3 linked regions of the Lepisosteus oculatus genome follow. The protein of the gene in region 3 interacts with the protein of the main gene of each other region in a biochemical or structural test. Links are inferred from orthologs where the notes say so. Each region holds a gene or a part of one and is shown on either strand. Other genes may lie near its edges. The genes, in order: nr2f1a, aryl hydrocarbon receptor nuclear translocator-like and ahr1a.

What was found.
Region 1: the proteins of ahr1a (region 3) and nr2f1a form a complex in vitro, tested with the Homo sapiens proteins (2 studies listed by BioGRID). The link is inferred for Lepisosteus oculatus from reciprocal best matches to the Homo sapiens genes AHR and NR2F1.
Region 2: the proteins of ahr1a (region 3) and aryl hydrocarbon receptor nuclear translocator-like form a complex in vitro, tested with the Homo sapiens proteins (14 studies listed by BioGRID, with this or other methods). The link is inferred for Lepisosteus oculatus from reciprocal best matches to the Homo sapiens genes AHR and ARNT.

Annotation. Positions count from the first base shown.
Region 1 is NC_090698.1:73,494,042-73,501,551, reverse strand, and holds the start of nr2f1a (nuclear receptor subfamily 2 group F member 1-A), read right to left. Parts: upstream 3,189-7,510; 5' UTR 2,313-3,188; coding exon 1,874-2,312; intron 523-1,873; coding exon 1-522. UniProt on the Homo sapiens protein: Coup (chicken ovalbumin upstream promoter) transcription factor binds to the ovalbumin promoter and, in conjunction with another protein (S300-II) stimulates initiation of transcription. Binds to both direct repeats and palindromes of the 5'-AGGTCA-3' motif.
Region 2 is NC_090722.1:6,977,323-6,985,322, reverse strand, and holds the start of aryl hydrocarbon receptor nuclear translocator-like, read left to right. Parts: upstream 1-4,876; 5' UTR 4,877-5,083; coding exon 5,084-5,105; intron 5,106-5,880; coding exon 5,881-5,995; intron 5,996-7,039; coding exon 7,040-7,093; intron 7,094-7,575; coding exon 7,576-7,623; intron 7,624-8,000. UniProt on the Homo sapiens protein: Required for activity of the AHR. Upon ligand binding, AHR translocates into the nucleus, where it heterodimerizes with ARNT and induces transcription by binding to xenobiotic response elements (XRE).
Region 3 is NC_090705.1:2,282,349-2,290,284, forward strand, and holds the start of ahr1a (aryl hydrocarbon receptor 1a), read right to left. Parts: upstream 3,207-7,936; 5' UTR 2,458-3,206; coding exon 2,396-2,457; intron 1-2,395. UniProt on the Homo sapiens protein: Ligand-activated transcription factor that enables cells to adapt to changing conditions by sensing compounds from the environment, diet, microbiome and cellular metabolism, and which plays important roles in development, immunity and cancer.

The sequences.
Region 1 (7,510 bases), on a different chromosome or scaffold from region 3:
TGAACAGCACTATGGCTTTGATGCAGCTGTACTCTGCGGAGTCGACGTGCAGGGCCTTGAGCTTCTCAACCTGCTCCTGGAAGATGCGGATGTGGTCCATGAACGCCACCACCCGATCCGCGGACATCGGCGAGGCGTGGAGGCCGGCCGCCGCCAGGAGAGGGGCCACATGCAGGGGCATGGAGCACTGCGCCGCGTTCAGCACAAACAACTCGCTCCAAGTCAGCCTGAGCAGAGACACCTGGTCTGTGATCTGCAGGTCGGGGAAGAAAGGGATGTTCCGGGCCCACTCCACGGCGCTGAAGAGCAAGCGAGCCGCCAGCTCGCAGATGTTCTCGATCCCCATGATGTTGTTGGGCTGCATGCACTGGCTCCCGTAGCGAGAGGTCGGGTAGGGCTCGGCCCGCAGCAATAGCGAGATGTATCCGGAGAGATAGCAATGGCCGTTCAGGGGGTCCCCGTTCGTCAGCGCATACTGCCCTGGGTTCGGCTGGGTCGGAGGCATTCTTCCTCGCTGAACCGCTGACAAAAAGAAAGAGAAAGGAGAGGAAATGTGCATCCAGGGCCGGTAAACACAGAGTTTGTGGACAGGAGATGAAAAAATAAAAAAAAAAACCCTTCGTCGTGTCTTGCTTCGACCCTGCGTCCAGAAAAGCCCTTTTTACAGCCAGTCCGTTACAAAAAAAAATCTCCACACACTGATCACGATACCCATAAAACAGTTCTAATCGTATTTTTAAATAGTTAAAAAGGATCCTTAAATTTAATTTTAACTTAGCCCTGTTCACGCACCAGTCCTCTTGATGTATATATATATACTCTGCTATTGTGCAGAAATGGTTACATTTCAGAATTTGTTTTTCATGAAATTCATTACTTACAATATGAAAACATTAAGGGAACTTATGGCACGATTTCTTGAACGCTGGTAGAAGGAAGTCATTCAGACATCTATACACAGTGAATACACAACTGTGTAGCTGCCTAAACACAGGATTCATTAACCATCTGAATGCAAAGCGCAATCATGCTTGCATTTTTAAGGACGACTACATATTTGTTTCTTCTCTGCCTCATTTTCCCTTAGAAGTCTTAGACACATTGACACAATTACAAGGGGACGGACTGAATTATTTTACAAATGAATTTATATACATATAAAATTTCGCATCTGTTTTGAACATCAGATGTTGTGATTAGGAAATAGTGTAGTGAAAGAACAGAGATTGGAGCTCCTGGCTCATATCTGCGAAGTTGCAGAATTCGTGAAATCGAAGGAGAATTGCTGTTGTTCTCACCATGAAACAGATCAGAAATACAAGCCATCGCTCCTCTCCCCCATTGCATCCTCGACCAACATTCAACCAATGCTGATATCTAACAAATTATTATTTTTATTGGTATTGTTATTAATCAGCTATTGTACAACACGATTTATAAAGAGAAATACACGCCGGAGTAAGTAAAGCCGCCAAGTTTTGTACTGTAACCAGGTCCCTCGGTAATATTATTATATATATATATGGGTCAAATGGGGGGCTTTTATTGTTACAAATCCGAAGATTACGGCAAAAGTAAGCAATGCACACGACGCAGAAAAAATACCGTGCAGAGCTGAGACTTATCGAAACCGTACTGTAACAGTCCAAATACGACTGCTTTGTTTAAACCCCCTAATGTCCCAAAAGGATAAGCTTGTCCGCCGTACAGCTTTAACTGTAAGAGGGAAAAAAAAACAAGGCATTATAAGCTTAAAATTAAAGGGACGGCAAGCGTGTAAATATGACAGGAAAACTACAATTATTTCACCCTGCACGACAGGGCGACACGTCTGGGGGAATCAATAGCAAGAGTTTTATAAAAAAATATTCACCTTCCCGCCTCATGCCCACTTTTAAACATTTCTTCAGTCGGCAGTACTGGCACTGGTTGCGGTGGTGCTGGTCGATGGGGCAGTTCCTGTTGGCACGGCATGTGTACGTTAAGTTCCTTCGGACACTCCTCTTGAAGAAACTTTTGCAGCCCTCGCAGGTGAACTGACCGTAGTGCTTCCCGCTGGATTTGTCCCCACAAACCACACATTCAATATGCTGTTGATTCTGTCCTGAATTCTGCTGGCTCTGCCCCTTGTCCCCGGCGGTGCCTGGCGTTGACGGGGGTCCCGGCTGGCTTGGTGTCTGCGGAGTGTGCGGGGCTCCGGACGCCGCCTGCTGCTGCTCCCTCGCCGGCTGTGCTACTGGGTTCGGGCCGCTCGGAGTTCCTCCGGCCACGTCTTCCTGCGTATCTCGCCAGACGCTAACTACCATTGCCATATCTCGGGCCCGAAAAGTGCTGTAAAGCGAGCGGATCGCTGGGGGTTTTGAGAGGGGGGAAAAAACGAGATTTCAGACACGGGGAGCGCAAAGTCAAGCCGGAGCAGGCGATCACATAAGACAAAGTGGGAGAAATGGACGATCAATACATTCAAATTCGAAGTGGCGAGAGGAAAGGCACCCGATCAGGATATGCAAGTATCGGGAGGCCAGTTCCAAGGTAAATTGCAGTCAGCCATTCAGGAAAGCTATCTTGGAAAATGAGGGAACGAGAGCTTACAGATCACAGAGTTTGCTTTAAAATAGCCTAATAGTAGGCAGGACGGATTCACTGAGAAGCAGAGAAATAAATAAAAAAAAAAAACACGCGATCCAAAGTATGGCGAAAATAAATCCTCTTCTTTCTTCCCGGCTCCTTTTACTCCAGTCTTGACTGGTGGAAGTAGAAGAAAAAAAAAAACGAAGATCGGAATTTTCTCTCTGATATATATATATATGTCTTTTAAATAAAACTCATCTGGAACAAAAACAACAACAACAGCAACAAAAAAATAATAATAACGTCGCTGAAGTGCCCCTGTAGTTTCACCTCTCCAGCAGGAACGGAGCGAAAGAGAAAAGATAAAAAAAAAGAGAAAGGGAAAAAAACAACTAATAGAATATGCAAGGAGGAGAGACCCAAAAATGAATGCGTTTAAACGGGAAGACCAGCAGAGCAATGTTTCCGAAACGGGTATCTGCGCGAATGTCTGTATATAGTGAACTTTGACACTACTATTGAAACTGACACGTTTCTATGGAGATCGCTGCGCCTTATATGGTGTTCATGTCAAGGAGCCAAGCGAGGGGCTGCTGGCGAGTGATATCAAAGGCGAGTGACTGGTCAGAGCCCTGCATTGGGGGGGAGAGAAATGAGAGGCTAAGGTTAGCCAAGCCTCTTTTACTTCATTGGTTAGAGTCCTCGTTCCTTGCTACCTACGACTGGGGCTTCTGACAAGCACCATTTACATCGAGCTCGCCCTGCGCTGCTATTTACTTTGAGACCTGATTAGTATGGGTCGTCTATTGTCACAAAAAAAAAAAAAAGAGAGGAAGAAATCCCGGATAGAATAGCCAAAAAAAATAAAATAATATATATATATTTTTTTTAGACGGGGAAAAAAAAGCGCACGTGAAATAAATAAACAGGCTGGCGAAGCGCAGCGTCTCCGGCTGAACCCCGGAAAGTTTGCCGGCGGATTGTTAGGAGCCCTTATCTTAATTATTAATGCTTATACCCAGCACCGTCCCCTCCGCCCGCCAGTCACACACAGAGTTGCGGGGAGAGTCGCTGCGGTGTGTCCGCGCCGCCTCCGTTCTCGCCACCGGCCCGGGAAGGGGAAAAGTAACGGTCGCGAGAAAAATAAAGAAATGGTTATTTATTGCACAAACGTACGGACGTGAGAGCAATTGCAGGGAAAAGGAGGTGGGTTTCAATGCAATGTGTAAGTTCGGATGTGGAACTGGAGAAATGTGCCATTTTGTAAAAGAAATGCTTGCTTTTAAAACAGATCCTTATCACTTCCGACATATTTAGCTGTAAGGATTATTACTAAAATCAAGTGAAAGTTGTCACCGGATTGTATGAGGGAATCTGATTGTAACTGTACGTAGTTACTGAATCCTGTGCTTTCCAAACCTAAAACAACTGGGTCCGGGTGCCATCTAGCGTACAGTACACAATCTCAGGGTACAGTACTGTATAATTTATTGTGATTATATATTCTTCCAAACCTTTTAAAGAAATATCTCCTCACGTTCAGCTTCGCGTTTCGGTTTAATTTTCTATTCGCTACGTATTTCAGTGCGTTAATTATACAGTTTAATTGCAACAAATGTTTTATGATTGCACACTTTCCTTAAGCAATGTAAACATCCAGAACAAGCAGCGTGTTTGCAGAAGGCTCTATAAAAGGCACAGCAGTAATAATCACATCCTTGTGATATTGGTGCGCTTTTATCATTATTGCATCGTCGGTGTACTTTATTTTTTTTTTAAATAGCTCGTCAGCGACGAAACAAAAAATCTATCATGGGAAGCAGGAAAACAAAACACTTAGCCTACATACTGTATATGCTGTGTAGTTTTATTATTTTTTTCGAGAAACGTTGAAGTGCGGGAGAGCTCCTGAAGTTTTATTTATTTATGTACAAATCGCAGAGGTAGAACAATGCATTGCAGTGCGCTCCCATTGTACAATGCACAGCTAGTGGAAAGGAAAAGGGTGTTATTCACTCTGCAACAGTGGTCGTTTTCCTCTCCTCTCACCAGCGTACCAAATACACTGTCCATGGCTTCTGCTTAGTGAAAAGGTGAAACGAATAAGATTAAACCAGACAAAGGGAAAGTTCTGTAAGTGTATCATCAAGATTTTACTCTACAGATTGGGACGAGAGAGAGAGAGGAGGGCGCATAAGAGACGACGGGAGAAGGATAACGCGAAAACGCTGAGGCGACTGAGGAAAAGTGGACAGTAGGACACTAAAGAAAGGCGCAGACTGTACTTCCAGAAGAGTGGACAGCAGCCGATGCACCTGAAAACTCATTTCAGCCCGGCAAGTATGTGCGTTTTGTTGATTTTATTTCAATTCAAACACGTGAGACAGTTTTATAAGAAATCACGATTCAGCAGAGCACTACCTTAGCCAATACATATGAACAAAACCGTCTCTGTATGAATGTATAGGCAGTCCTAGCTCTATCAATAGGCCTATATCTATATCTATATACACGCCTTTGTGTTGTTGTTTATTGCTCTAGATCTTTATCTGCTCTTATTTGTCCACTATTTCTGCCATTAGAGCGCACAGAGCAGGAAAGAGCTATATTTTCCAACTTGTAAGCTTCTCACCTGCGTTGTTTGTTGTTTGATCATATAATGAAAAGATCGATAGCCGCGTGTTTGTTTAAACTGTCGTGTCAACGGACCACAGGACAGCAATAAGATCGACTTGGTCGGAGAAAAAAAAAAAGCGGAGACGATCAGGCAAAGCCCAGCTGACAAACGCTGGCTGACTTTCGCAACCTGCATTCTTCTAATTTCAAAGCACGATTCTTACAGTCGACTGTAAACGATCGTACAGGCGTAAATGGCGCAAAGCTTTGCACTAATTCTGTGACTGCTGCTATTTCCATTCCTCTCGAATTCGACCCCGAACAGAGTCGCAAGGGTAGCGCAGCCAAGAGTATTGCCAAGTGACTGTCACTAACCGGTCGTTTTGCTCATCTTTTCAGCCTCTAGGTACATGAGAACAGTAAACACATTTCCACAGGACACTTCCAATATATATATATATTAACTTTCTTTCTGTCTCCCTCATAAACGCTTAATCCGCTGCTGAGAAAAGTTGTGTACTGAGGAAAACTCGTAAAGCGGCCTGAGACGGAAATCTCTTTAGCAGGGACCCGAATTATTTACCTCAATTTGAAATTTACTGCTTTGAATGCATCCCTTTAAACGCGTGTAACACAGCAGCAAATTCTATGTCAAGTACCAGAGTGTGAGAAAAGAGACTACATGACATTTTATAATGTAACTCCGCAGGAAATAAAAGTATTTCATTAAAAAATAATATCCATCACGGCAACACATTTACCTGTAACCACACACGACATACAAGTATACTCGTATACTACAAGTATAAATGCTTCATTGACCGAATAAGTATGCACAGCGTTTATCTCAAAGTTGTGTGACTTACTCCGATCTCAATTAAAGAGGCAGCGTAAACACAACAAAAGAAAGTATAGTCCATATTTCCAGCCAAAAACGTGACGCCAGCATCAGGGAACAGGCTAATAATAATAATAATAATAATAATAATAATAATAATAATAATAATAATAATAAAACAATCAGTTACAAAACAGTTTTATACATAGAGTAACGCGCACGATCAGCTATACCTCTATAATCAGAGTCCTGAATTATGTAAAGGATGTTCAAGCAATAATTCAAATAAAATGCACATGAGTTCCAGCTTACTACTTCTGTGCTGACATGCACACGTTTAGTGGGTGGTTACAACAATGCAAACAGTTCTTTCTTTTTCTGAAACTATATATTTTTTTTCACTGTCTGCTTCGGTACTTTAATGACCTGTCCCTTTTTGCGTTCTGTTTTGGTTTTCGTTTGGTGATCTAGTTGTCACACGCTAAATTAAAAGGGATCTATCAAATCGCTGGACCATTTAGGTTAAAATTAACGTCGGCTTTTATTGCTTTACACGACTCTTAAAGGCCTCTGTCGAGGAGACACCTGTAAAAACACGTCTTATGTTTCTCTACCACGAGAAAGAGTTACAAATGACCAAGACAGCCGATCTCATGTACATTGTCTTCGCCTTCCCATGTCTGTTTACATCTGCTTTGAACTGCTCGGCCAATTTGCACGCGTAGGACTTGGGTGATGTTTGAAATAAAACCATTTAACCGCATCTTTCGCTTAAGATCCACGATTTCTCGCGCAAAATAACGCTGCAAATACGATTTGTTGCTCTAACCGAAAACATGTATTTGAAAAACATGACAGGACTCCTAGATTTCGCTCACCAGCCGGCAGCACGAGGTGTTATTTTCGGTAGAAGGAATGCAGGAAAGAGACGGCCAGCAATCAAGTAGTGAGAAAAAAAAAGTAGACAATGTTTCTGAGTTTGCACCATTTCAACGCTGTTAATTTAAAATTCACTTTAAAACTTGTGTTCGCTTTTACTATGCGAGACAAGTGATATATGGAAGTTAAACACTAATGGTGTAGTCTGCAGCCTTTGATATATACACAATATATAAAAAAACGATTCCTATTATTGGATACGAACTCCTAAGATAGAATCAATTAGCCAGAAATAAATACAACTCATCATCAAAACCTGACAGATCTAGTTTAAGAGATGTGCAAAATGAATTATGCTTTATGTAGGGAAAACTTTAAACTTCTATATAAATATTTTATATCCAAACAGAATTTAAAATTAAATCTAAAAATACTCCACGCGTCTTTGATTCTAAACGGATCCTTCGAAACACATAAAATGACTTGTATTAACTTTTAATGCGGATTTGATCTGAAACACTTTAATTATGCATAACACATAAATGTTATCTTTTCCATATATTTAACTTTTTTAAGCTTATCAGAACAAAGGGGAATTTTATCTTG
Region 2 (8,000 bases), on a different chromosome or scaffold from region 3:
ACACCCCACTCTGACAGTGTCCTGGGATCTGTAGTGACCAGTAGTCAGGACACCAGGGTCAACACCCCACTCTTACTGACAGTGTCCTGGGGTCTGTAGTGACCAGCAGGACTTCTGTTTAACATTAATACCGAAGGAGTACACCTCCTACTGCTGAGTATCTGACCTAGAGATGAGTACACATGTTACGTGATGTGGCGACCTTGTGGCTGCAGGACAGAGGTCCTACAGTGTTCTTGGGCTTCGGACACCGGACTATAGCAGAAACCTACACAGCGAACGTTTTCAGGTGTTCAATGATGTTACGCGTAGAGCAGAACTAATTTTACACAAAAGGTTGTTGAAGTTCGTTGAGATCACTACTAACCTCACGCACGTTTTCAATTTTCCACACTTTTAGAATTAGCAGCAGCTTCGGCTGCGAGACGAGACGAAACGAGGGGTACTGATTTAGATCCAAAACCTTTGCGGAAGGAAGACTTCAAAATATAAATGTATTTTAAAAACAACTCGTCATCTGCATTGAGCACCTCCATTGAAGGCGATGAAGGCGGTGTTACTGCGGCAAATGAACGTCATGGGAAATGTAGTTTTTTATCTCCCGCAATTCTTTAAATACGAAGGAGAGTTACGACGAAGAAAACATCAACTCCCAGCATACCATGCGCTGCGCTCGCAGGGCGCGCGGGTCTGACGTAAGGTGAGGGCGAATTTAAAACACCTCATCGCGTTCTTTTAATTTCTCACAAAAAAAACTATATAGTTACATATTTGTGATTATATGCAGTAAATATGAGAGTAAGGGGTTATCTTTACGAAATAAACGTTGTTACCGAAAGCCATAATTTGGACAAATTTAGCTGTAAGCATTCGCTCTTTATCGCAGATGTCCCCTCTCTACAAAACGACGTCTGCCCACCTGAGAAATTAACGACAAACGACTCCGGTTTTAACCAGAATTACCTCTCCTTCCAAGGCGTTTCGCCGGTAGAGGGTCACTGTAGATATTACTCTTTCGCTATTTCATAAAGAAATTTTTGAGCCAGATTCCAGTCTCCGAGCTTGTCTCCCTTTCTCCCCCTTCCCAGAGAGAGTCCATGAGGGAACACGCCCACTGCAGTCGTCGCCACGCCCCCAGACCTAATGAGCGCCAATCAGCAATGCTGATCGACGTGAGTGATAGGGGAGGCAACCAATAGGCTCCACAGTAGCGTGAGGTAAGAGGAAAGGCCCCTCCGACGATGGCAGGTTTGTCCAATAAAGAGCGCTAAACCGTGATAGGCGTCGGTTTGAACCAATCAGTGCAGCCAGAGGTTCTGGCGGGAGCTGACCTGTCAAGGGTTTGTATGCCTAGAGTTTACAACACGTGGTCGAAGCTCTTCTGTAATTGCTGAACGCATTATTCTTGAGCAGGGCAATGTGTAAGCAGCGTGGCTGTCAATGCCTGGCACAGATACCTATAAATGTACAAGAATCCACTCTGTCTCAGTGGGTCAGTGCACTCCTCCTGGTCAGAGCTGGGAATTCTGAGACAGGACACAAAACACAGTCGTTCTTCCAGATCCTTTTATTTCAGCAACTCCTGGTCTGGATAAAACTGCACACTGCTCCCCATGGTCCAGCCCTGCCCCGTCGCCCAGTCTACCGCCAGTCTCCCAGTCTACCCCCTGTCTCCCAGTCTACCGCCTGTCTCCAGCTCTGCCCCCTGTCTCCCACTGTGCCCCCAGTCTCCCAGTCTACCCCCAGTCTCCCACTCTGCGCCCAGTCTCCCAGTCTACCCCCAGTCTACCAGTTTGTCCACTGTCTCCCACTCCGCCCCCTGTCTCCCAGTCTACCGCCTGTCTCCCACTCTGCCCCCAGTCTCCCAGTTTGTCCACTGTCTCCCACTCTGCCCCCTGTCTCCCAGTTTGTCCACTGTCTCCCACTCTGCCCCCTGTCTCCCAGTCTACCGCCTGTCTCCCACTCTGCCCCCAGTCTCCCAGTCTACCCCCTGTCTCCCAGTCTACCCCCAGTCTCCCAGTCTACCCCCAGTCTCCCACTCTGCCCCCAGTCTCCCAGTCTACCGCCTGTCTCCCAGTTTGTCCACTGTCTCCCACTCTGCCCCCAGTCTCCCAGTCTCCCACTCTGCCCCCAGTCTCCCAGCCGCTGGGGGTGCTGCTCTCAGCCTCAGTTGCTGATCTGCTCCTCCTGCCAGGTGGAGGTGGGGATGGCACTGTAGGGGTCGACCACCATCTGGGCGCAGCGCACCACCGTCACCAGCAGGAAGAAGCACAGCAGGAAGAGGAAGGCCAGAGCGAAGCCCTTGTCAACGTCCACCGGGAGCTGGGGAGGGGCATCCGTGTCCATCTGGACCAGCTGTCCTCCTGGTGTTACAGCCCTGTTTCTTAACCACTGGACCAGCTGTCTTCCCGGTGTACCAGCCCTGTGTCTTCACCTCTGGACCAGCTGTCCTCCTGGTGTAACAGCCCTGTGTCTTATCCACTGGACCGGCTGTCCTCCTGGTGTAACAGCCCTGTGTCTTATCCACTGGACCGGCTGTCCTCCCGGTGTAACAAGACCTTAACACCTGGACCTGTCAGGTCTCCTCACTTGAGCAAAGTCTCGTCGAACTGGATGAACTCCATGTTATTACTGTAAACATATTAAACAATCAGAAAAGCCCAGGAATCAAACAGCAGAGTGACCCGCGGGTCTCTCGGTCCGCCCCAGGCAGTGTGCGTGACAGGCAGTGCGAGAGTCGCTCTCTGACGCCAGTCCGGTCCTCCAGCGGGGTGGTGGCTCAGCAGTGGCCCAGTGGGATCCAGTTCGGTTTGGGTCCCAGCTACAGGCTCAGGACCGGGGTTCTGCAGAGCCCTGTCGAGACTGAGAGACGCAGGGGGGTGAGTCCCATTGTGCAGGAACGGGAGGGGGCTCATTATGGAACGCAGGTACGGGTGACCCCCTGACCCCTGACCCCTGACCCTGGCGCTAACACCTGTACAGGGCAGCTAGCTAGTGAAAGCAGCATAAACGTGCCCTGAACCCAACACTGTCACACGCTGGGGAAAAACGAAACAATCCTTAATCGGAAATTCAAGGAATTTTAACAGCGTATGCAGTGACTTCTTGCCTCTCCGAGGCCAGATCCCAGAACTCCAGTAGGGAACATGGCGGATCAGCCGGTGTGTGTGTGGGAAACGGCGGCCTCACACTTACCCATGCCCTGGTTAGTGTGTGTGGTCACACAGCGGCGGTATCGCCTCGCCGCTCGCTCCTGCCTTCGGGATTCGGGAGGGTCTGCAGGGATGCACTGCTGCCGGAGCGATCCAGCTCGTTCTGGACCTCTGCGCTCGGCTGCGGGAGTTTTCCTCGTGTGCGCCACTGTCCCCCCCGGCTCATGAATACTTCAGCACGCTCCTGGTGTTGTCTTTCGGCCCGGCCCGCTGCCGAGGGGAACCCGATCCCGGCGCGGTGCCGCCGCGGCCCGCTCCACAGAGGGCACCTGCTCCGAGCCGTGTAACCCGGCACACGGCAACCCGTCACGCTTCATGGGAGTACTGGGAGACAGGGGCCATCCCCGTGGAGACAGCGTGAAGCCAGCCAGCTCCTCTTTCACAGACTCTGGACCAGCAGCAGACACTGCTAGTGTACTCTTTACTGCGTTTACCCTCATCTCACTGGGCTGGACTGCACTGGACTGTGCTTTTACCCTGATCTCACTGAGCTTTACTGTACTGTACTGCACTTTTACCCTGATCTCACTGTGCTTTTACCCTGATCTCACTGGGCTGTACTGCACTGTACTGTGCTTTTACCCTGATCCCACTGGGCTATCCTGCACTGCACTATGCTTTTACCCTGATCTCACTGGGCTTTACTGCACTGTACTGCGCTTTTACCCTGATCTCACTGGGCTGTACTGCACTGGACTGGGCTTTTACCCTGATCTCACTGGGCTTCACTGCACTGTGCTTTTACCCTGATCTCATTGTGCTGTACTGCACTGTACTGTACTATGCTTTTACCCTGATCTCACTGGGCTGCCCTGTACTGTGCTTTTACCCCGATCTCACTGGGCTTCACTGCACTGTACTGTGCTTTTACCCCGATCTCACTGGGCTTTACAAAGGACAAGATTTCTGTGACAAGTTATTCAGTGCAGGGATGAGTCAGCAAACAGCTGCCCCACGGCCCCTTTGCAAAGCTAACGAACAGGAATGATAAGCAAATGTTTTCATAATACTGTAGGATTTAATGAGCTGCGTTACTGAAGCGGATACCCTGGTTTCAAATTCAACTTCTGAAAGAGCTTTATTGGCATGAGAAGAATGACGTGTTACCAAAGCAGACACAATCAACACAATATTTGCATACACCACATAAAACATTATTGTGAGAGAGGGTTGGGGTTTTCTTTAACGCTTCTAGGATCAATTGACGGAAAAGTAGCTCCTCTCCTTCACCTTTTGTTCCTGTTCTCGTGTTTGTGTTTATGTTAAACACTGAGATTGCAGGTCTGTACTCGACATAATTAATCAGAAACTCGCCTCTCCACAAAATCACTCTCTCCCTGCAGGGACCGCGGAGGATGACAAATACCAGATGTCGAAATATCTTTCACAACAAGCGCATTTCCTGTGGAAAAATACAAAAGATCTCGATTAAAAACACTCAAACCGCCCCAGACTGTCCCTTTAAACAATTCTGTGTGGCGTCACCGATTTCGGCCCGCCCCCTCAGATCATTCTAGCCTGGTGTGAAAGGCGGGATCTCTCTGTTGCCTTTGCTAGATTCCGAATCTCTATTGGCCAAAAGAAAGGTACGTCCAATCTTTGTCATCACTGATTGGACAGAGGCACCGCCCATCATTTTAACACGTTTTTAATCCGTTTTGTAATCAAAGAGTTCGGTTGACGCGCGGGCCTCCGCTCCAGACTGCCATCTTGTTTCAAGGGAGGGTTTTCGCTGTGTGTTTTTTTTAAAAAACAAAAACATAAGAGGAAAAAAAGTATCTTTCGAAAAATAAGAAAAAAACCGACAACCCGTGTCTCACGCTGTCCCACACCGTGCGGAGGCGCCGAGGGCTGGATGTTTTCTAACGTTCATGGCCTCGACTTCGGCATCAGGTACGAAGCCCGTCGATTGCGTGCGGCCCCTGGGCGAGTGTGTGTCCCGGGGGTGTCAGAACAGGCCTGCCAGCCCTGAGCCCTCACGGGGCAGAGCCGGGGGCTCTGGGGGTCACCGGGCGGGGTTTTTTTTTGGGGAGGGGGGTCTTTCCGCTGGAGCCCGGCTGTCCGCCACAGCCTGGACAGCCCGGTCACTCCCGAGCCCACAGGGACGTCTGGCGAACCGGAGGGAGGAAACCTCTCTCTCCTGTCGCTGTCCGACTGACTGGCTGTCGCGGGAGGGTTTCGCCGAGGCGATGTCTGAAGCCGGCTGGGTGCTGGCACTGGGTGGGTGCGTGGGGAGGGGGCTCTCTGTGACTCGCGTCGCGCTGGTCCGTTCACTGGCCAGGACAGCAGCTGAAGCTAAAAGGAAAAGCGCTTCAAAGTGTCAGAGAAGTAGCCTTGATGATGATTCCCGACTGACAGCACTGTAAAACCTGGAGTGGATCAGACTGCTGCGCACTGGGAGTCTAACTGACAGCACTGTAAAACCTGGAGTGGATCAGACTGCTGTGCACTGGGAGTCTGACTGACAGCACTATAAACCCTGGAGTGGATCAGACTGCTGTGCACTGGGAGTCTGACTGACAGCACTGTAAAACCTGGAGTGGATCAGACTGCTGTGCACTGGGAGCGTGGCCCGTTTCCTCAGGCACCGATGTCTGGGCGCTCTGCGGTCTCGCTGTGGCCGGAGACTGACACTGTGTGACCCTCCTTCTCTCTCCCTCTCTCCCAGACATGGCGTCGGAGGTGTCCGGGCTGAGTGCGGGTGGGGCCCCTGGTAACCCGGGCCTGGGCGGGGCTGCCGCGGGCACCATGGTGCAGAGAGGGGCCACCAAGAGACGCGCTGTGTGAGTACAGGGGCGATGTGCTGCCTTCTTTTATATAGTGCCTTTCAAAGCAGCTTCTCAAAGCCCTTTATAGTAAGAAAGCAAAATCATTTGAAAGAAGACGATGATAATAATTGACACTTATATAGCGCTTTCCTGGACACTCCACTCAAAGCGCTTTACAGGTAATGGGGATCCCCCCCACCAGCTCCAGTGTGCAGCCCCACCTGGATGATGTGGCTGCAGCCAGAGTGCTCCAGTACTCTCCCCACACACCAGCTCTCAGAGTGATGGAGCCAGTTCAGAGAGGGGGGTTATTAGGAGGCCCTGACTGGTAAAGGCCAGGGGGAGATCTGGCCAGGACACTGGGGTAACACCCCTACTCTTCTCAAGAAACGCCCTGGGATTTTTAATGACCACAGAGAGTCACGACCTCGGTTTTACGTCTCATCTGAAAAACTGAGCCTTTTTACAGTATAGTCTCCCTGTCACTATACTGGGGCATTAGGACCCACACGGACCGCAGGGTGAGCGCCCCCTGCTGGTCTCTTTAATACCTCTTCCAGCAGCAGCCTCAGCTTTCCCAGGAGTCTCCCCTCCAGGTACACTGGCCAGGCTCACACTGCTGGGCTGCAGTGGGGCTGCCAGCTGGGAGCTGCAGGGTGATGTAGCTGCTGGCCACAGAGGCGAGGCTGGTGGCACAATTCAAAACAGAGCAGTTGGAAGCAGTAGAAGGTGCTGGAAGTCTATGCGGACCTGATGCACTGTCTGCCCCAGGAGTGTGAAGGGCGTGTTGAGGGGTTCTGATGGAATAATCAGCCCGACGGCTCGCAAGCAGGTCAGGAGGGTGTTGTGTTCTGCTGTCTGCGGGGGAGTGTCACCGGCCGGGAAGAGCCGTTTTCATCGTTCAGATCCAGGCCTTGCGCTGCTCGGGGCAGGTCCGGTTTCCATTTCAAGTGCGGCGCGGTCTCGCCCTTTGTGTTCCGGTGCGGCCCGGTGGGCTGCGGTTTGGTGCCCCCCCCGTCCCGCGAGCCGGGCCCTGACTCTCGCTGTCTCTCCGCACAGACCTGACTTCGATGAGGACGACGACAGCGGCGGCGGCGGCGGCAAGCTCTTCAGGTGGGCACCTCTCCGGGCAGCGAGGTCGCCGGCGCTGGGGCTGGAGGGCCGCCCCTCGGCCTGCTGGGTGGCGCCGCGAGGCGGAGGAGGGGGGGTGTGAGAGTGCGTGAGCGTGCTGGCAGAGCTGTGTTTGTGTCCGCTGCTGTCGCCGTTTCTGTTCGGTGCGGATGCGGGACGCCTGTGCTGGTCTCTGTGGTTGTGCCCTATTAGCAGCAGTACCAGGGGACTGGTGAGGGAGTAATCAGTGCACTCTCCTTTCTCCTCCTTCCCCCTGCTCATTCTCCCTTTCTCCTGGCTGCTCCTCTCTCTTCTCCCTCTCTCGCTTGCATCCTGCTCCTCCTCCTTCTCTTGTCTCTCGCCTTTCTCTTCTCTCTTCTCTCTTTCTTTCTTCCTCCTCTCCCTCTCTCCCCTCCTTTGCCTCTCTCGTCCCTCTCTTTCCCCCCTCCCCCCTCCTCTCCTTCCCCCTCTCTCCCCCTCTGCAGGTGTGATGATGACCAGGGAGGCTCCAACGACAAGGAGCGCTTTGCCAGGTAAGCCGGAGGAGTCTCCCCTGTCGGGATGCACGCTGTCCGCAGCCTGAGCGCTTCCTTCCGCTCCGGGACACGAAGAGCAGCCGGCCGACAGGCGGGAGCGCGTCCCAGCGCGCGGGGCCCCGGGGGGCCGGGGGCTCCCCCTCTCTGCGCCTCCCCTGCTGGCGGCGCCGGGTTGGGTCAGCCAGCCTGTTGCTCTTCGGATCAGGAACAGGCCCTCCTGGAATGTCTTTCTCTGGTTTTCCGTTTGTCACAGAGTGCCCTGTCGTTCTGCGTCTCTGTATTCTTACGATTGAAAGGCATCAGACTCCTAGAGCTGCAGAGCAGTCCGAGCCACTTCAGAGTTTACTGACGCACTGACTGACTGACTAGAGCAC
Region 3 (7,936 bases):
CCTCAAGCAACTGTCCACAACACTAAAAAACACAAGTAACAGCAAAAGTGCAGCATGCAAATGCCACTAAGAAAATGAGCACACGACAGGATAATACTCTATGCGTCACTTGAAAATCTATCTGGTCTGACTGTTGTGGAAATGAAGACTGACTCGGATGCAAATTCTTAAGATGTCAGTTCAGTACGTTGATCTAATGCCGAGGTCTCTCTCTCTAAGTGCTTAATGTGGAAGTGCTGTAAACAAACAGGTCACGTACTCTCAGGCACAGAATGGCACATTCTGTGCACTATTTTGACTTATCAACAAGCCCTTTGATTCATTCTTAAAACCCTGCTGCTTAATGGAGTTATGGAAAGCAGCGCATTGCTTGACTTGTCCTCTTCTACCAAAATAGCTTTGATGCCGTCTAAACAATAGGGACTCTACCCTTTTAAAAACTGCACAAGGCACCGGCAAGAGGCCCATCCAGCAGAAAAGGTCTCATTTTAGAATCTGTGACTCACGGGGGTGTTAAAGTTTTCATTTGGGCCAAACTATTCCAAACAGGCTACACTGCCCGGATAGAGCCAAGATTTCACTGGCCATATGAAAGGAATCTGAATCATTTGTACCGTTTTTTTTAAAAAAAAAAACCTAATCTTAAAAAAATCTTTTGGTGTTTGAAAGAGAGGCTTTGGGTTGAGGTTGTGGTTTAATCTATGGGTTAGAGTTTCAGGTACGTCAAAGAACGCTGAATGTAACTTAACATTCAATCCCACTAATGAGCGATGAGCACAACTCCAAAAGTATGTTTCAAGCTTTAATGTCTCGCCCGTGTTAAGAGTTTGACTGTTCTCTAAGAGAGCCCAAGTAAAGCGCTGTATTTCTCATCAATCATAATATGCAGGGATCTGCGATGCCTTCCCTTTCCCTAATGCTAATGCTAATAAAAGGGCACCGTGGGCACGGATGAGTTGCGTTCGACTCATTTCTGAACCGATTTAAGGTTTTGCTAAACCGACTTGTGGAAATGCGTTCAAGCCGCGGATAACACGTCTCCGCAACCCCTCGGGTGCAGAACAGCAGATGCCGCAGAACGTGTCACATCATCATATTCATATGTGTATCCCTTTCTCATGTGAATCCACACGCGTCGGTAACTCTGTTCCCACCCCGCCGCACACCGGCACTAGACAATGCTGGTGCTGGCTGCCCTGCAGCTATGAAGAAAGGTGAAGTGCACCAAATATTCCTCCCAGGCCTGATCTTTCCACATGAATATTTTAATAGCTCTGGAGATGGCCAGCATTCGGTTACTTTTTGGGGGAACTCAAGCCCTGCAAAAGTCGGGATACAATTTGGGCTTTCCAGTGCAAGCCGAGCTCCGGGCGACTTCATCCGACCATTTAGCTGCGTCATTAGGAGGCGTTGATGAGCTTTCCAGGTCTCTGCTCGCCACTGTCTGCACAGCTCTAAGCCCGATGCAAGTCGGATATCTACAGCATGTACATGCAAGCAGACGGCAAAAGCGCGGAAAGCGTGGCACCGGGAACTGGAGGGGGTCTGTCTCGCCGTGCACACCAGACACGCCGTCCTGTCGCCGCTCCGAGGCGGGGACCGTCGCCCGGCCTGTGCGGGTCTCCGTGGATCAGTGCCGAGCCAGCAGGCTTAGCGGAAAGCGACCGGACCGAGGCCGTGCATCCGCCCAGCCCGGGGCACGGATGGGGCTTGTGCACGGCCAGGGGCAGAGCCGTGTCCCAGGGCGGGCGGGCAGGGCACGGCTTCAGGGCGCCTGTCCTCCGCACGGACCCCGCCAGGGCGAAGTGGGCGAGCAAAGCCGCGAACGGTTCCAGATGCTAGCACAGACGGGCTGGGTGCGTCACCGGCCGCCAGGGGTCCGAATACCATCTCTCCCATTTCACATCCCCCCCCCCTCCCCTGCCCGGCTGGAGGACACGGCGGTCCTGCAGGTGTTGCGCCCCGACCCCTCACGAACAGACACACGGCGTCTCCAGGCCTGTCGCACCGGCTGCGTAAAGGCCACTCCGGCCGCAGGGCTGCGGCGGCGGCGTCTCCGGCCTCCCGGACCAATGCGAAACGTTAAGGAGGCTTTGGGTTTGCTGGGGGGGGGGGGGGTTCTACTTTGCTACAACGACAACAACAACAACACATAAGTATTTCACCCCCCCCGGATAAAAAAAACGAAAAGAAAAAAATCCTCCTAATCTCCGAGCGAGCAACGCCACGGAGACCTCCGGCTGCCGCAACACGAATCAAACACGCGAGACGCGCACCTATTTGAAAAGAAAAGCCGGCAAGACCGTCCGACGTGTTTGGAAGATCGTTTTGGGGGGGGGGGGGGTTCTTTCTTTCTTTCTTTCGGATGCATAGGCGTGCTTGCGGAGGGTCCTACCTCTTCTGCACGGGCTTTCTCCTCTTCCGACTCGCGTAAATGCTGCTCGTACTGTTGCTCATCCTGGTCTCTCGGCAGGACACGAAATTCCCTTTCGCTTCACGGCCCTTATCGCTGTCGCCGCTGCCGCTGCTGCTGGTGGCGTTGGTATCAAGGTTATAGATCCCACAATCCCTCCCTCCTCCCCTCCAAAAAAAAATAAAAAAATCAATGACAACCAACAACGACGACGACGGCACTTCGCCTTTCACAAAAATAAGCAGGGTGTCCTCGACAGGATCGAGGTGGCGATCAAGAGGGGCGATTTTCTGCTAAGAACCATGTCCCGTCGCGGGAAACCCTGTCAAACCTCCCTCCTGTCGTCGTCGTCCTCCTCCTCCAGCGACGGAAAAAGGAAAAGAGAAAAAGGTCACCGCAGTAAGACCGTGAACTTGGTGCTCGCCGGAGCGCCTGACGCAACCGAGACGGGCTGTAACCGCGCAACTGACGCGCCCGGGCTCCTCGCGCCCCCCAGCTCGAGCCGCTCTCTCCTCTCCACGCGCGCTCCCCTCTCCCGCACGTGACGGCTGCCGGGCGCTCTCCCGCGGCCAGGTGTCTCGAGACAGGGGCACCACCTGAGCTTTCCTCCCCTCCCCCTCTCCTCCCTTCTCCTGTTCTTGCTCCGAAGGATCGGGCCGACTCTCTGAATCCGCACGCTGCTGCTGCTTCGGGTTCCTGCGTCCCCTCCTCCCTGCCAGCAGACTGGTCTCTCCCTCTCTCCTTCCCCCCTGTGCGCGAATCAATGTCGCTTTTTGCGAGCTGGACGGACCCAGGTTACACACGCCCAAGCATTGCGTCCCGGCCCCGATGACGCTGACGCACGCCTGGACGTCGGGGGGCGGGGCATGGGCGTGGGAGGCGGGTGTCCCGGCGCGGCGGCCATCTTGGTGAGGTCGCGGCAGGGAAACGCAGCCTGCCGGTAAACTGCGCGGTTTAGATTAGCAGGCAGCGTTTACCAATTCGAGGAAAACTGCATGCTGCGATACGGTTGTAATTTTGCGGTGACAGAAAAATCACGAACTGCAAATCCCAATTGAAGCAGAAATAAAACTGTAGATACCAACAAAAGGTCATACAAGAGTGGCGTGGGCGCTGTGGTGGGTTCATTCTGATCATAATAGAATCATCTGTATTTTTTTTTTCGTAAATGTGGTTTGATCGTCTGTCTATCTGTCAGTGCTGCAATTTCCCCAAGTATTAAAAAGCGTGCATTGACGCTTAATACCCGCACGTCTACGAATTGACGTCATTTTTCTCGTACTGTACGGTATTAAAAGGAAACAATATAGGATTAGCAGGATTAAACCAGATTCAAATCTAATGTGAAGGAACTGATTGCTTAGATTATTTCTGTGGATATATTATTTTTATCGCTCCAGCAATACAGGGAGTTGTTTTGCATACCTAATTAGATCATTGAAGTGCCAGAGGAATCGCGGATTGAGAAAGTCAGGTGTTCTAATTTTATTTACTTTATTTAAATATTTTTTTTACGCTGGGGAAATATAATAACTTGGTGCATATGCCCTATAAATTCGAGGCTTTCCCCTTTAGTCTTTAGTTTCTCAATTTACCTCAGCTGGTGATGATATGTGCGCTATATTTGGATAAATGTGTGCTTTAGTTTATGTTACCTGCGTTTAAATTGGCCCCGACAGGCTGTGAAATCGGATCGTAACAGATGTATATTCAATTTACACTTAATAATGGGCCAGAACGCCCCCACATAGCTGAGAGACTGAGAGACGGTGCCCCTGTCTCTTGCTGTACGGCTCTGATAGATTGCTGCTGCGTCAATAGCATATCCAGTTTCTAAACAGATCCGCGTTATTTCATCAGCTCCAGTGTGTTTTTCTGACAAAATACCCAAGAGCTCTCAATTAAAACACGGCACAACGATATCTTTCACAGAGACACAAACCGGTCATCTGTGTGTTGCCGTCAATCTATAAAGTTCAACATATTTAACTTATTCGTGAAGTCCTGTAAGGTCGACGTGATGATGCAGTGGTTACCACTGCTGCCCCACAGTGCTGGGGCCTGGGGTGCTGCCTGTGTGGAGTCCATATGATCTAATGTCCAGGTGCTCTGGTGTCCTCCCACAGTCCAAAGGCTAATTGGCTACTAGTCCAAAGTTGAATTGGCTTCTGGGAAAAGTGGCCCTGCTGTGTGGGTGTGTGTCCCTGTGTCTGCTCTGTGATGGACCGGCGTGGGTGTGTGTCTCTGTGTCTGCTCTGTGATGGACCGGCGTGGGTGTGTGTCTCTGTGTCTGCTCTGTGATGGACCCACATGGGTGTGTGTCTCTGTGTCTGCACTGTGATGGACCGGCGTGGGTGTGTGTCTCTGTGTCTGCTCTGTGATGGACCCGCGTGGGTGTGTGTCTCTGTCTGCTCTGTGATGGACCGACCGGCGTGCTGTCCAGGGTGCACCCTGCCTTGTGCCTGTCCCTTGCTGGGATGGGCTCCCCTGTGACACTGTACTGGATAAAGACCATAGCATGAAAGCAAAAAATATTGTACATTATGAAAGAGCTGTACTGTACTCTATGTTATGTTCTTCAAAGAGAAAAATATTTAAGATTAAAAAAAATAATTTCTGTCAAGACATCTAAAATCGTAAAATGAAACAAAATGGCCACAATAACAAAACAAGTCACAGGACCTACAGTACGTGCGTGCTTTCAGATATCACTGGGTGGCTCTGGAGCTGAACCAGGAAGCTCCTGGTTTCATATCCTTTGTGTCAACCACTAAATTAAACTTAGCCCGCCAAACATATCTATTGCATTCTCAGCAAATTTAAATAAGAAACAATATAGCAGCCATATTGCCCTGCAACTCGTGGCTTCCTGTTCCCGTCTGAACGGGCTTCATCACGCTGCTCTCCTCCCCACTGAGAGCTAGTGTGGGGGGAGCGTTCTGGAGCATCATCCAGGTGGGGCTGCACACTGGGGGTGCTGGAGGGGATCCCCATGACCTGTAAAGCGCTTTGAGTGGAGTGTCCAGAAAAGCGCTATATAAATGTAAGCAATTATTATTATTATTATTATTATTATTATTATTATTATTTAAAAACTGCCACTGTTAAATGCTTTCCCAAAAAATACGCATTCTGTTCATAAAACCGTAAATGTTTGTGTTTTCTACACGTTCCACATGAACATGAAGAGAACATGCAAACTCCACACAGATGGCAGCTCAGGAATCGACCGCAGGGCCCCAGTGCTGTGAGGCAGCGATGCTACGGACTACATCGTGCTGCCCTAATTTTATATTTGAAACGAGAGACGCAAAAGAAAATGAACATGCAATAACAAGCTGATCTCTCATTTCATCTTCTTCTTTCAAACCATTTTCTTGAAATGCTGAATGAGGAGGGCTATCATTATGAAGATGCCATACAGTTCACTGGTAATGTGCAGCATTTGTTAGAACTTACATTCATTAGCTTGTACAATGCAACATCATTAAGAAACCTCCTGGTAGTTTTTTTCAATGTTTTATGAACCACATTTAAGTGTAATCCAATATCTGACCGAGACAACTGATTGCATTTTGAAATTCCTAATTGAATTCTACAATTTGGAATAATGCTGGGGGCAAAGCAGACCACTGTAAGTGAACAAAACAGTCGTTAATTTGTTTCTGTAGTGTTGCAGGAAACATTTTATCAGGAATAATTGCAAACAACTTGTCTTGTTTAAAGAAAATAACGAGCAATTTTCCCATGACTCATGCGTCCCTGTTCCTAAAGCTCATAAAGATTCATGTGAAATTGGAGCCATACACTGCCATAATGAATTTCTTTGTCTCTGGACGAGCCAGGGTTATAAAAAATTGGCTTTGAACTTTGGACATTTGAAACTTTTACAATAGCTAAATATATTTCTGTGTGTAATATGGTTATTTAGCATTGCCCGACTAGCAGCAGCTTGGTTAAATACCCATGAGTCTAACTCCAAGGCCTGAAAGCTCAGAATAAAACAGGGAATTTGTATTTTGTCTGTTTTCTGGCTGCAAAATATTGCGTCATGGTCTCATTTAAACCCACAATTATGGTGTTAAAAATGGAATGTCTCATTGACAGTCAGAACGATCCTAGACACATAAATGTAAGGAATTCAATCAAATACATTTGTATAAAACTTCGGTTTTGTTATGTCATTTCCTATGTGCATGTCTTCGACATTTACAATTTTCCCTGCAAAAGTATTCAGACCCTTGCAGTTTCTATATTTTGTTGCTTTAAATCGTGCAGAAACGACACTTTGGAATTGCGATAAATATTTGTTATAGTATATACACAATGTGCCTCACACATAAAAAAATACAAAGAAAAAAAAACACAAAGATCATTAATATAAAAGAAAAATAGAAAAGCTAAGATTGGATAAATATTCAAACCCTTTTCTGTGGTAAAATTTAATGAATACAGGTGCACAAAATTACACAAAGATCAGGAAAAGAGTGCAAAAAGATTTTGTAGTGTTCTCCCTTCTTATATACCCCTGTGAGCAAGTGCACTGTACAGCATCGTGACACCCAGACGCTGCCTGGATCCGGCAAAAATGGGGCAAAGTTTCACATCCATTGAGAGAGAGCTTTGGGGCACCCAGGTCATTTTGGACATTTTGGATCTTTCTGTTACACTGTTATGCAAGGAATCGGACCACAAGCACATCTATTTCCCTTATGGCCGTGGGGCCTGTGTACATTCCGATAATTTCTTCCTGCCTGGTGACCTCTGCCCAAAGAACTGGAGTCGGGCCACGCACTTCGGTGATGGACCAGAAATCCACAAACCAGGGTCAGAAATCAAGTTGGCATAGAGTGGAGGTGCTCTCCTGTTGACTCCCGATGAAGCAAGCAGTTGGGAAATATCATGTTTGGCTTTGTCAAACATGACGACCTTTATTTCATGAAAAATGTTAACTTGTGCTGTAAGATTGTTTAAAAAGAGTTTATCGTGTGGATGGATCCCAATTTGACATCCAGATTATAGTAATCTGATTTCTTTGTCTGTTTTCATCCATGATCTACAATTAATTGGGTTTGGTAGATTCATTTAATACCCTGGGTTTAAGTACATATTTATTCTTTAGTTTAATACTGTTCGCTTCAAAGGATGTACCAACACACCACTGGCATTTATAAGGACATTTTGTGGTGGCTCATCCCAAATTAAAACTGAAAAAAATTTAGATCATTTGGCAGTACACACTTACAAATCACTGCTGCAGTACACCAGGCTAACGCTGAGCCTTAAACATTTTCAATGAAAGCAGGGAATGACCTGACACAGCATATATTCTCATCTGGGAATCTCTCGCATGGATGTTGCCTGTGCACTGAAACCACATTTTGTAGCTTTTCTGCAAAAACAGCAGATCTTTTCTGTACAGTAGGTACAGAAGTGCCCAAACGCTCATATTGCTTGGACAAATGAAGGCAATGCTCACTTTAAAAAAAACATGTCAGTATGTGAATTCCATAATCACACCAC